3 linked regions of the Oryctolagus cuniculus genome follow. The main gene of each other region encodes a partner of the protein of the gene in region 3 in a complex. Links are inferred from orthologs where the notes say so. Each region holds a gene or a part of one and is shown on either strand. Other genes may lie near its edges.

Region 1 (3,649 bases), on a different chromosome or scaffold from region 3:
TCAGAATTTAAGTACAAATATTATAGGTTTCAATGTATGTCACATAATATAGATATTTCTCATTCAGTCATTTTATTCTAAAAATACCTTTTTTGCTTCCTACACACTAGGCATTTTTCTAGGCACTAGAGATATAAAGATGAACAACATAATGTTCTGACCCCACAGACCTTATATGCCAATGGGGAAGACTATCCGTACATCAATAAATGCATATTATGTTGTCAGGCAGCAATAGTATTAAGAAGGAAGAGGATAATGGAACACAGTGTAACAAACAGGCACAGACTATTTTAGATAGGGTATTTAGGGGAGGCCTCTCTAAGCAGAGATCAGATATAAAATCATCAATTCTAGAGAAGTTTCTGGGAAGGTAGTCAAGTTAGAAGGGATACGGAAGAGTATCATAACCTCCATAGAGAAGTTGAAATTTCAATGTGTCTTGAAAGTAAGAAACAAATGGTACAACAAAGCCAGGAAAGAAGAAGGATACTAAAAAACTGTAGGAGTCTGAAAACTGGATTGATCTAATTAAAATTACTCAAATCAAAAGGCTTCAAAGAGAACTCAGTAATCTTAGCATAGCGCTGAACTCAGGACTCTTAAAAAGGTATGTGTTCATGAAATAGTAAATACAGGTTTAATTTTTCCCTCCTAACAAAATGAATGTTTGCGTATTTCAAGCATTGTTCAAAGCACTAGATATTTAACAATGAACAAAACAAACAATAAGCCTTTGTGTTACCTATATTATCATCACAGTGGGGAGGACACAAGACACAAAAAATACAGTATTTGGGTGGTGATAATTTCTATGGCTGAGAACAAAGAATGAGAGGGAGGAGACAGGTGAGCTATTTTAGATAGGGTGGTCAAGGAAAGGCTCTTTCCTTTGAGCAGATCTGAAGGAGATAAGGAAACCAGACTCGCCAAGAAATGGGGGGAAAAGAGCATCCACAATAGTGAAAAGCCAGGACCACGGCCCTGAGTTGAATATGAAAACAATGAGTCCAGGCTGCAGACTCTGAAACTACTTTTACCTAGTGTGACCTGGAACAAGTTTCTAATCCTCTGTGGACCTCATTTTTCTCATCTGTAAAATGTGGACAGAGTTGTCAAAAGGAAATACAATACATGGCATTTGGTAGATATTCAATCATGGTATTGTTACTTATTTTTTTTTTTTTTAATTTCCTTACGCAGTGAGTCACCAGCATTTGCTTTTATCTGCAAACAAATCTGACAGGTAGCACTTTATTTTTAAAACTTTAACTGTCTTTTTTTTTAAAGACGACCTCCAGTCACTAACCATTTTCTATTCTTTTTCTGAAGAGAACAGATTTTAGTTACAGTTCAAAACATTTATTTTAGGGACTAGTACTGTGGTGTAGTAGGTTAAGCCTCTGGCTGTGGCACTGGCATCCCATATGGGCGCTAGTTCATGTCCTGGCTGCTACTTTGATCCAGCTCTCTGCTTATGGTCTGGGAAGGCAGATGGTCCAAATGTTTGGGCTCCTACAACCGTGTGGAGACCTGGAAGAAGCTCCTGGCTCTGGACTGGCCCAGCTTCAGCCGTTGCAGCCATTTGGGGAGTGAACCAGTAGATGGAAGACCTCTACCTCTGTGTCTCCCTCTCTCTGTCTGTAACTCTGCCTCTCAAATAAATAAATAAATAAATCTTTAAAAACAAACAAAAAAGAAGCCGGCGCCGCAGCTCAATAGGCTAATCCTCCACCGGTACACCAGGTTCTAGTCCCAGTCGGGGTGCCAGATTCTGTCCCGGTTGCCCCTCTTCCAGGCCAGCTCTCTGCTGTGGCCCGGGAAGGCAGTGGAGGATGGCCCAAGTCCTTGGGCCCTGCACCCGCATGGGAGACCAGGAGAAGCACCTGGCTCCTGGCTTCGGATCAGCACGGTGCTCCAGCTGTAGTGTGCCAGCCGTGGCGGCCATTGGAGGGTGAACCAACGGCAAAGGAAGACCTTTCTCTCTGTCTCTCTCTCTCACTGTCCACTCTGGCTAACAAAACAAAACAAAACAAACAAACAAAAAAACATTTATTTTCAGCCTTCACACCATTTTCCTAAATCATCATGTTTAAATAGCAGTATCTATTGGTTTCATCAACTAAAACAAATAGTTTAGGAAACTACTGCCATATAATTTGCAGTATCTATGCAAATTATTCTGCCTTACTTGATTATAGTCAAGACTTGAAATGAAGTCTTTCAGGAGTCAGTGGCTGGTTAAGTCCCTTTCACTATGTCAGAGGACTGCTGTGAGGCCTATACAGCAAATAAGAACAGAGAGCAAGTCTTTCTTTAAGCAGCTAAGTACCATGTAAATGACAGTTGTTCCTTGTCAGCATTCTTTACTATGCTGCCTCCTTACCCAGAAGTTGTTTTGGCATGTCAAGCATCTGCAAGATAACCATGTATCAAGAACAAGAACAAAAATCCTCCTTTTAGAATACTGCTACCTTTAAAAACCTAATGACTTAATATTATGTGGGCAAAATGAAGGCTATTGATTTGGCACATTATTAAGTTTCCTTTATGTAACCTTCCAAAGCTATAGCAGAAAGTTACTGCAAAGGAGAGGAAGACAGAACAAAAGAGAAAAACAAGGGACAAAGCAGAATCCCTACTCAAGGAACTGGGAAGCCCTCTCTAAAAATGGCCCTATATGATTCAACAGTTCATGAACTAGTAGTAGCAATTATGAGTGTTTAATGATGGCTTAATTAAGATGTCAAGATTACTTCAAATTACTTTTATCAGGTTAACGAGGTAAGAAGTTTTTTGGTTTGCTCCCTAGGCCCACTAAATAGTTCAAGTAAAATGTATTAACAATTTAGAGGGTAAATTTCACATATTAGAAAATTCCTGGACCTTGATGAAGCTGGATGAAGAAATTATTAGCATATTCCACCACAAGTTTAAAGCTGAAGGCATTTAAGACAGCTGTTCAGGTGGAGTTTCTGCAAAGAGGCCACATTTAATGATACCATCCTCTGTCACCAAATCTTTCCTTCTTTGCACTTAAAGTACATGATAAATCCCAAAAAGAAAAATTCTCTCCTATTCCCAGTACAGTAGTGTTCTACATCTGCATTATTTCTGTCCCAAGGAATTGCTTCTTGAAGCAGTTATTCATCCCTTTTCTTTCCAAGCACAAACACTCAGATGAACAGACAGATGGTATTGTGACAGCTATACATGACCAAAGCTTTCAAAAAAGTTTCACTGTGAGAAAGTTAAATTTTTCCTACTGAAATGCTGTTATGTGAAAACACTCTTATTGCCACCAAAATTCTAAATTCTGCATAGGCCTAACTAAAACACTTAAAGAGTATCAGGTTTTTAAAAAGGCATCTAAAATGTAATTTTTTCTTACCACTGATCCAAAATGTAATTTCTAATTTTCAAATAGCGTTCTGGTGTTTTAGCTTGACGCCCCTCAAAAAACTCAGGAATTGCTTGTTTTTCTTCTTCTTGAATGGTATTTCTATCTATTTCTACTTCTTGTTCTGGTGGCTTAAGCTCTTCTTCCTCGTGGCTTTCTTCCACAACATGACAAGAAGAATGAAAAAGCATTTCATTGTCACTCAAATCTTTATTTTCACAAGTCTCAAGAGAAGGCCACTGACTCGCA
Region 2 (3,749 bases), on a different chromosome or scaffold from region 3:
CCACCCACACATCATCATCCCCTGCCCCAGGATGGAAACGCAATAATGTAAGAAGATGTTCTTGCAGCTGCTCACTGGGCCTCGTTGAAGCGGGTCACCATTGTCTTGTGCAGTGTCTCCTTGTAGGACTCGGTGGAGGTGACCCCATAGGAGCTGCCCCGGGCACCCAGGCCGGAGCCCCGCACCCGTGTTTGGGCCTGTGTGAGGGAAGAAGGGAGGCAGGTTCTGTCAGGCTGGCTGAGGGATGCAGCGGGGGACCCTGGGGGACAGGGCTGGGAGCACTGGAGACTCACCTCAATGGGTGTTACGATGCCCTGCTTCTTACGGCCCAGGCCGCTGCCCTCTTTCCAGCCCATGGCCTGGAGCATGCGACTGCCGATGTTGTCACTGCCCAGCCCATCCCGAGTGGGCTGCTCAAAGTCCCTGCAGGGGACAGTGTGCAGTGTGAGCGGCTGGCCTGCAAGCCGCGGGCCCCCTTGCCCAGCCCCACACACTCACACGGAGGCTGCCGCTATGCCGCCGTACTTCCTCCTCTTGGGCTCGGGGGGCTCGGGGATGCCGTACTTCTCTCTGCGTTCAGCGGCACGGTCCCGGTACTTCATTTGCTGCAAGTGTGTGTGCGTTTGTGTGTGTGCATGCTGGGGAGCTGGCCGCTGCTTTTGGGAGACCTGGGCAGGGGTTGCTGGGGTGGGGTGGGGGTGGGGGGCCTCACGGGGAGCTCCATCTGGCTCGCAGGTCCTAAGGGTCAGGACAGCGCGGGTCCAAGTGGCAGGTTGGGGGAGGGCGAGCTGGGTGGGAAAGAAGCCTTGCAGGGACAAGGGCGTGAGATGGCTGATGGCAGTCAAGGCATCACACCTGGCTAAAGAACTTGAGGGGATGGAGACTCGGAAGGATGGAGGAGGCGGGGCCCAGGAGTGGGTCGCAACTCACCTCCATGTCGTTCTTCTCTAGCGCTTCCAGCTCGTTTTCCGACAAATGGGCTCGCCGATGAATCTCAAGGTTTTGCTGCAGAGAGGATGGGACACGGAGTGAGGCGGCTGGACTGGGCTGGGCACCGGGCTCCAGATGCCCCCCCAACCCTCCCCTTGGTCACCTTGTGGAGCCCCGAGAGCTGCTGGTGCCGGATGAGTGCTTCCTTGCTGGGGAACTGGCGCCGGCAGAGCAGACAGGCCAGCTTCTGCCAGTCTGTGAGCTTCTCCTCGCGCTCAGGGCCCCCGCGTTCCTGCTCCTCCTCACTGTCACTCTCCCCGCTGTAGGCTGCCACTAGCCCCCGCGGTGGGCTCTGCAGAGGGTGAGGGTGGGCAGTCAGGCCTGGCCAAAGAACAAACTCCCTTGCCCCTCTGGGCCCAGGGCACTCACTGGGCGGTCGTCGCTGGCCAATTTCGGGAGATCCATGCTTGTGTGCTGTCTCTCGGCCAGTGCTCCCTGAAGTGGAGGGAGAGATATCGAGGGACTCCACAGAGGCCCTGGAGGAAAGGCGGGATTGCAGGGTGGGGTGTGGGGAAGCCACAACACACCTTCTTCTCCAGGATGGCATAGCCAGCATCCGCGGTGGCTGACTCCCGCCTTTCGTCATCTCGCAGAGAGCTGATAGGCTGGAAGCTGTTTTTGAAGTTTTCTTTTTGTTTGTTGAGACTGCGGGCCCAGCGTTCCATATCCTTGGCAATCTGGGCATGAAGGTAGGGGTGAGGCTCCCAGGAACCCTCAGGCTGCTGGGGCCACCAATGGCACCCACGGACCCACAACCCTTGCAGCAGCCCGGCTGCTTCCTACCCTGGGGCCCAGCTACCCAGCATGCCTCCCTGGTCTGAACCACTGCAACAGGCTGCCCGTGGCTCTGAGCTCCACACTCTCATCAACTACTTGCCCTCCCCCTAAAATAACTTCCTCTTAACCCTTCCTCGGTTCCCCCCTCACACCCAGAGCAAACTCAAAATTGTGACCAGGGCCAGAGAAGCACTTGGCTCCCTGGCCCCTACCAATTTCATCTCTGAATACCCCCAACTGCGTGCCCCCCACCCCACCCCGGTTTGCAATGGCAAGGTGATAGAAACAGTTTGGGTAGAGTGGCAGGCCCAGCACACAACAGGAGTCTGGGGCAGAGTAAGCAACAGGTGGGAGACGCTGGGGGTGCTGAGTTCCCACTGCCCTGCCATCAGTCACCACTGCTCCGTCAAGCCCTTTTCTGTGTGTGCTCCTATGTCCCGACAGGCACCCACACTGTCCCGTTTGCTGTTCCATGTTAGCACAAGACTGTCCATTTACGCACGTGATGCAATGCTGTATTCCACGTTGCCCCCTGTGCTCACCGCCATGTTTAGAAGCCGCCAGGTCGGTGAGGCAGCACTTAGCATCATGCTGCACCCCACTGTCAGACCATTTGCTCAGACGCAGAGCCTCCCTCCCGCTGCCCACTACGAAACACAGCAAGGCCTTTCTTCCAGGGCCTGTGGAAAGTCCTCGGCAGGACGCACTCCTATACACACACACCCCCGCAAGAGTGGTGCGAGGCTTCCCACAGGGGCAGAGGAAAGCTGCCAGGGCTCATTGAGATAGTGCGAGCCACCTCCCGGGGGTGGGCCGCCCTGCCACGCACTGAACAGGCCAAGAGCAGAGCTGGCCTAGTGACTACTCCTGCCCAGTCACCAGCCCACCACCCTCTGCGACAGCAGGCCAGAGGTGAAAGAACGTGGTCGTCAGAAGACACCTGCCAGCTAGCTGGTGCCTGCCAGTCGCCCGATGTTCACCTGCTGCGCTGTCTTGGTCTTGTGCTTCTCCTTCTTCTCTTTGCCTTCCTTTGAGGGAGCCCCTGTCTCCTTATGCCCGTCAGCCGACTGCTCCAGGGCAGGAACGTAGGTCCGCCTCTCCCCATCCCAGTACAGGTACTGCTGGCTCTGAGCATTGTAGTAATACTGTGGGGGGCAGAGGGGGCATGAGGGAAGACCGACCAGGAGACCTGCAGGGAGAGCTGCCCAGTCTCACCCCAGCCCTCCCCAGTCTGCTCCATCACCTGGGAGTTGGGGTCATAGTACAGGCCCGTCTGAGGGTCATAGTAGTAGCCAGATGTCTCGTCATACTGGTAGGTGGAAACGTCAGGCACAGCTGGTGGGGGAGAGGGGGTTATCACGCTCTTCCCTGGTGTGTCGAGAACTCTCCACCCCGCCCATAGGCTGTGGCTACTCACGGTACTGGCTGTAGGACTCCTGGGCAGTGGGGCTGGTGGCCGGCGGCAGGGCAGAGCTGGGATGGGTAGGGCTCTGGAGCTCCGATTTGAGCACAGCAGGTGACATGATGGTGTATGACTGGTCAGGGGGCCAGACAGGGGGACAGGGCTCAGGGTCTGCCAATGCCACCCTTTCCCAGTTGCCTCCCTGGGATCCCCTGGAGCCCACTTACCTGGCTGTTGGCAGCAGCACCCTGGCCACTGCTGGCATCGGCTGCTGCCTGTTGGTAGAGGCCAGGGGTCGCACCAGCCTGGGCACGGGAGAAAGCCTGCAGTGACATGGAGTCTGCTCCAGGTTCCAGGGACGCCTCAGGACCTGGAAATGCACAGGGAAGGAGGATGCCTGTGAAGGCTGGGGCCCAGACCCCCTGCCTGCTGGCCCCCACCATGAGCTCAGGAAGAGATGCTGGGGCTTACCTGCTCCAGCTGGGTCCCCTTTGGTTCCAGTGATGCCAGGGCCCTTGGTGCCCTTGAGATAGCCATGGGCATAGAGGGAGGACTCTGTGCCCTGGCTGCTGCCATAGCC
Region 3 (3,649 bases):
TTGGAAAGATTTGGACATTTGGACACTTTCATTTTGGTTAAGGAGAAAAAATGATAAATACAGCAACAGCACCATCTAAAGACATACTGTCAGAATTCCTTGAAAAGAAGCCAGAGATCCGTTTCACGCAAACGTGGGTCTTTACTGCCCCAGTCAGAATGATAAACGTAAGGCTGCTGAATCGCATTTGCCTTTTGGTACTTAATGCTAGAAGTCAAAGACAAAAAGCTCCACTTGTGCTTTGTGAGAACAACTACATCACAGCAGCTGTACTTGGCACTGTGACTTGAGAAAAAAAAGCCACTAATGAAAGCAAAAGTACCAACTGCATTGGTTGTCACCCTCAAGTACAGAATAATCCCTTTCAGTGACTTATTTTTGGTTTATGTAAATAGCATTGCTTCTTTGAAGGCGAAGGAGCCAAAGATGTCCTTAAGCCTGCATTGTTTCAATTCTGGCATCTCTGCCAGCACCTGAACTGTGGCTAGTCCAAGGTGAAGGGTGCTAGAAGGGTAAAATCCACTTGATTTGAACCTGCCACTCAGATGGGAGACCTGGGTGGGGTTCCGGGCTCCTGCCTGCAGCACGGAGCTCCAGCTGTTACAGCTATTTGGGGAGTGAACCACAGGATGAAAGACCTCTTTCTGATCTGCCTCTGTCTCTCTCTCTCTCTTTCTCTCTCTCTTTCTGTGTATTTGTTACTCTTTCAAGTAAATAAATAAATCTTAAGAAAAAAAAAACATTAAATCATAGCTACAGTTCCCAGGGAGGGACTGATGCCAAGAACTATTGGGAAGGTAAACCATGACATGAAAAAGAAACAAAACAAGAAAACAAATTTAAAAAAAATTCCAGCACATGCCAAAACCTCCATGAATACTCTAAAATTTAATCATAAACTTATGCAAATTTTCCACAACTCCCCTTTACAGACAAGGGACAAAGTCTTAAGAAATCTTTGAGAAGTGTAAACTGGCCAAATTTTTATCCTAGTCCACATCAATTATACCCTTTCTAATGATTCAGTGTTACCAGTTGTGTGTGTGTGTGTGTGTGTGTAAACTGACAATGAAAATGAAAACTGAGCTTTATTTCAAATATCCTTTCATTTGCTGAATTACATGTAAATTTCACATTGGGTTATACAGTTTCCCTGTACCTTGCCCCAAGGTCCAACAAAGCCACGGTACAGCCTTACTTAGTGGTGTGTGGAGCCACCTATTCTCACATAACATATCCATATACTTGCAGTGAGTGTAGTCCTGAATTCTACTGGAGCCCTCTCTGGACACAGCACAGAGAACTTCCCAAGCTCTGCAGCTCTAGCAAGAAGCCCCACGTTCTCCTTTTCTTCTGAGACCTTGGATTACTCTTACCTTGACTTGTTCATTTGAAGTTACAGCACAGAAAACAATCTCTGTGAATCCTTGGGATGGGAACATACGGAAACATATACCACCAATAACACGGCCATCTTTAATTAAAGCGAGGGTTTTGTGTTTCCTGAAAAGAATAAAATTACATTAAAGTTTTACTATCCACATTACAGAAATATATTTTTAGGGGTATGCCTTCATCTGGTCACTATCTTGTTAGACCATCCTTTATTCTGGGCTTCTTAGATCAAGCTTGCCAGCACAAGCCTTCTTCACAGTGCCCACCACAACAAAACACCAGTCACCTAGGAACCATCTGCAGCTTACAGATAGAGAACAGAGTGTGCATGGAGTACTGTGGCACTGGCAGCCCCCACACCAAGGACCCCAGGGTGGGAGGTCAGGGGCGGACATGAAGCAATGGTCAAACACATGTCCTCGACAAGTTTAGCCTTAGTCAAAAATATTACAGAAACAATATGGAAGAATATGAAATTCACATGTACAGTTTGCCAGACCCCCATCAGACCCTCTCTCTGTCTCAAGTATCATTCTGAATTGTCACACAAGAAGATCAGAGTCCACATAGGCTGTTGAGCTATATATGTCAAAATACATTTAAATAAATCAATTTGGGGTTTAGGGTTTTAAAAAAAAATTTAAAACAATGGATTTGCAGAGTTAATTTGACTTATTTCTCAATAATTTTCCCAACTTTTACCAATATGGGCAACAATGAAACCTAGTTAAGGTATTAAAACTAGAAGCCTTTTGACTATTAAAAAAAAAAAAAAAGTGGGATATCGTCTTAGTGTGTAGTTCTCTCTACTCTATAGTAAACGAACACAGCATAGTCACCAAAAAACTTAAAATATAAAGCTTCATCATCATTAACAAGAAATTATAGAGGCTGGAGTTGTGGCACAGCCCATTAAACCACTGCCTGAGATGCTGGCATCTGATATGGGAGTGCTGGTTAAAGTCCCAGCTGTCCAGCTTCTGACCCAGCTGTATGCTAATGTGCATGGGAAAGAAGCAGAAGATGGCCCAAGTAATTGGGCACCAGACACTCATGGAGACCTGCATGGAGTTCTATAAAGTGAACAAATATTTGTGGCCATGTGGGAAGTAAACCGTGATGGAAGATATCTCTCTCTCTCTCTTTTTCTCTGTCTTCCTGCCTTTCAAATAAATAAATATTTATAAAAGAAAAATGTGTAAATTGTGGGGAAATCAACTGCAGTACCTTTTGACATGAAAATCAGCTTGATGAAACTCCATAGCACATCATCGCAGGAGGGAGAAGAGACTTCTGTGGTAGACTGTGGCAGACTTTCACCATCTAAGTAGTTTGTCTTCCATTGTAAAAGGAAACAAAGAAGGAGGAAGAGCTAACACAAAACTTACGGGTCAAAGACGAGCCGCGTGATATACTCTTTTGGCATTCGGGGCAGCTGATGGGAGAACACATTCTGCAGGCCGACCAGCCACATCAGGATCCTCTTGTTCGGCTTTTGGTTCAGGGAATTGCCAACCACGTGAAATTCAATCACACCCCTGCGCTCTTCCAGCCTTGCTGCCTCATCCCTTGCTGAATGGGCTGACAGAAAATTGGTCTGGGATAGAGAAGAGAGCAGAAAATCACAAAGACTAACTCTCTTAAGACAGTGTGGACGGAACACAGCAAACCTTCTCTTCTTTGCTCTAGTAAGATACTTATTTGTGGATTTTCTGGGTCCTAAATTCACACACATGTGCATTTACCAATACACATACTCACATGGGTACACTCACGTGTATACAAGTTATAAAGACAAAATAGAAGAGGTAGGTAAAGCACTTTGAGAAACTAAAGTACTGCAGGTGTACATGGATGAAATCTGGTACAAAATTAAGGGTCAGCAAATTTTTCTATAAAGGGCCAGATAAAAAATATCATAGACATTGCAAACAATTAGGTCTCTGTCACAAGTACTCAACTCTGGCTGCAGGACAAAAGCAGCCACAGACAATAAGTCCAAGAATAGGTGTAGCATGGAGCCAAGATGGTGGACAGAGGCCCTGCACTTGCCTCTACCACAGAGAAGAACCAGAGCAACTAAGGAAGGACCATGATCCCAGGAAAAGGACTGAGGGAAAAGTTCAGGAAAGAAGTAATGAGAGGAGCTGCCACTGCGGCATAGCATTGAAGCCACAGTGGCATATGGGTTAAGCCACAACCTGCAATGCTGGCATCCCAAACAGGCACCAGCTGGAGTCCCAGATGCTCCACT

The links.
Region 1: KAT2B (region 3) and MYSM1 share a complex: the UniProt entries of both Homo sapiens proteins name them as parts of the large chromatin remodeling complex. The link is inferred for Oryctolagus cuniculus from reciprocal best matches to the Homo sapiens genes KAT2B and MYSM1.
Region 2: KAT2B (region 3) and RBM10 share a complex: the UniProt entries of both Homo sapiens proteins name them as parts of the large chromatin remodeling complex. The link is inferred for Oryctolagus cuniculus from reciprocal best matches to the Homo sapiens genes KAT2B and RBM10.

What each region holds. Positions count from the first base shown.
Region 1 is NC_091438.1:114,368,183-114,371,831, reverse strand, and holds part of MYSM1 (deubiquitinase MYSM1), read right to left. Parts: coding exon 3,392-3,649; intron 1-3,391. UniProt on the Homo sapiens protein: Metalloprotease with deubiquitinase activity that plays important regulator roles in hematopoietic stem cell function, blood cell production and immune response.
Region 2 is NC_091453.1:32,715,792-32,719,540, reverse strand, and holds part of RBM10 (RNA-binding protein 10), read right to left. Parts: coding exon 3,641-3,749; intron 3,540-3,640; coding exon 3,397-3,539; intron 3,303-3,396; coding exon 3,185-3,302; intron 3,103-3,184; coding exon 3,011-3,102; intron 2,913-3,010; coding exon 2,748-2,912; intron 1,668-2,747; coding exon 1,518-1,667; intron 1,426-1,517; coding exon 1,360-1,425; intron 1,283-1,359; coding exon 1,094-1,282; intron 1,006-1,093; coding exon 931-1,005; intron 606-930; coding exon 499-605; intron 424-498; coding exon 294-423; intron 198-293; coding exon 72-197; 3' UTR 1-71. UniProt on the Homo sapiens protein: Binds to ssRNA containing the consensus sequence 5'-AGGUAA-3'. May be involved in post-transcriptional processing, most probably in mRNA splicing. Binds to RNA homopolymers, with a preference for poly(G) and poly(U) and little for poly(A).
Region 3 is NC_091435.1:155,767,273-155,770,921, reverse strand, and holds part of KAT2B (histone acetyltransferase KAT2B), read right to left. Parts: intron 2,993-3,649; coding exon 2,784-2,992; intron 1,504-2,783; coding exon 1,377-1,503; intron 1-1,376. UniProt on the Homo sapiens protein: Functions as a histone acetyltransferase (HAT) to promote transcriptional activation. Has significant histone acetyltransferase activity with core histones (H3 and H4), and also with nucleosome core particles.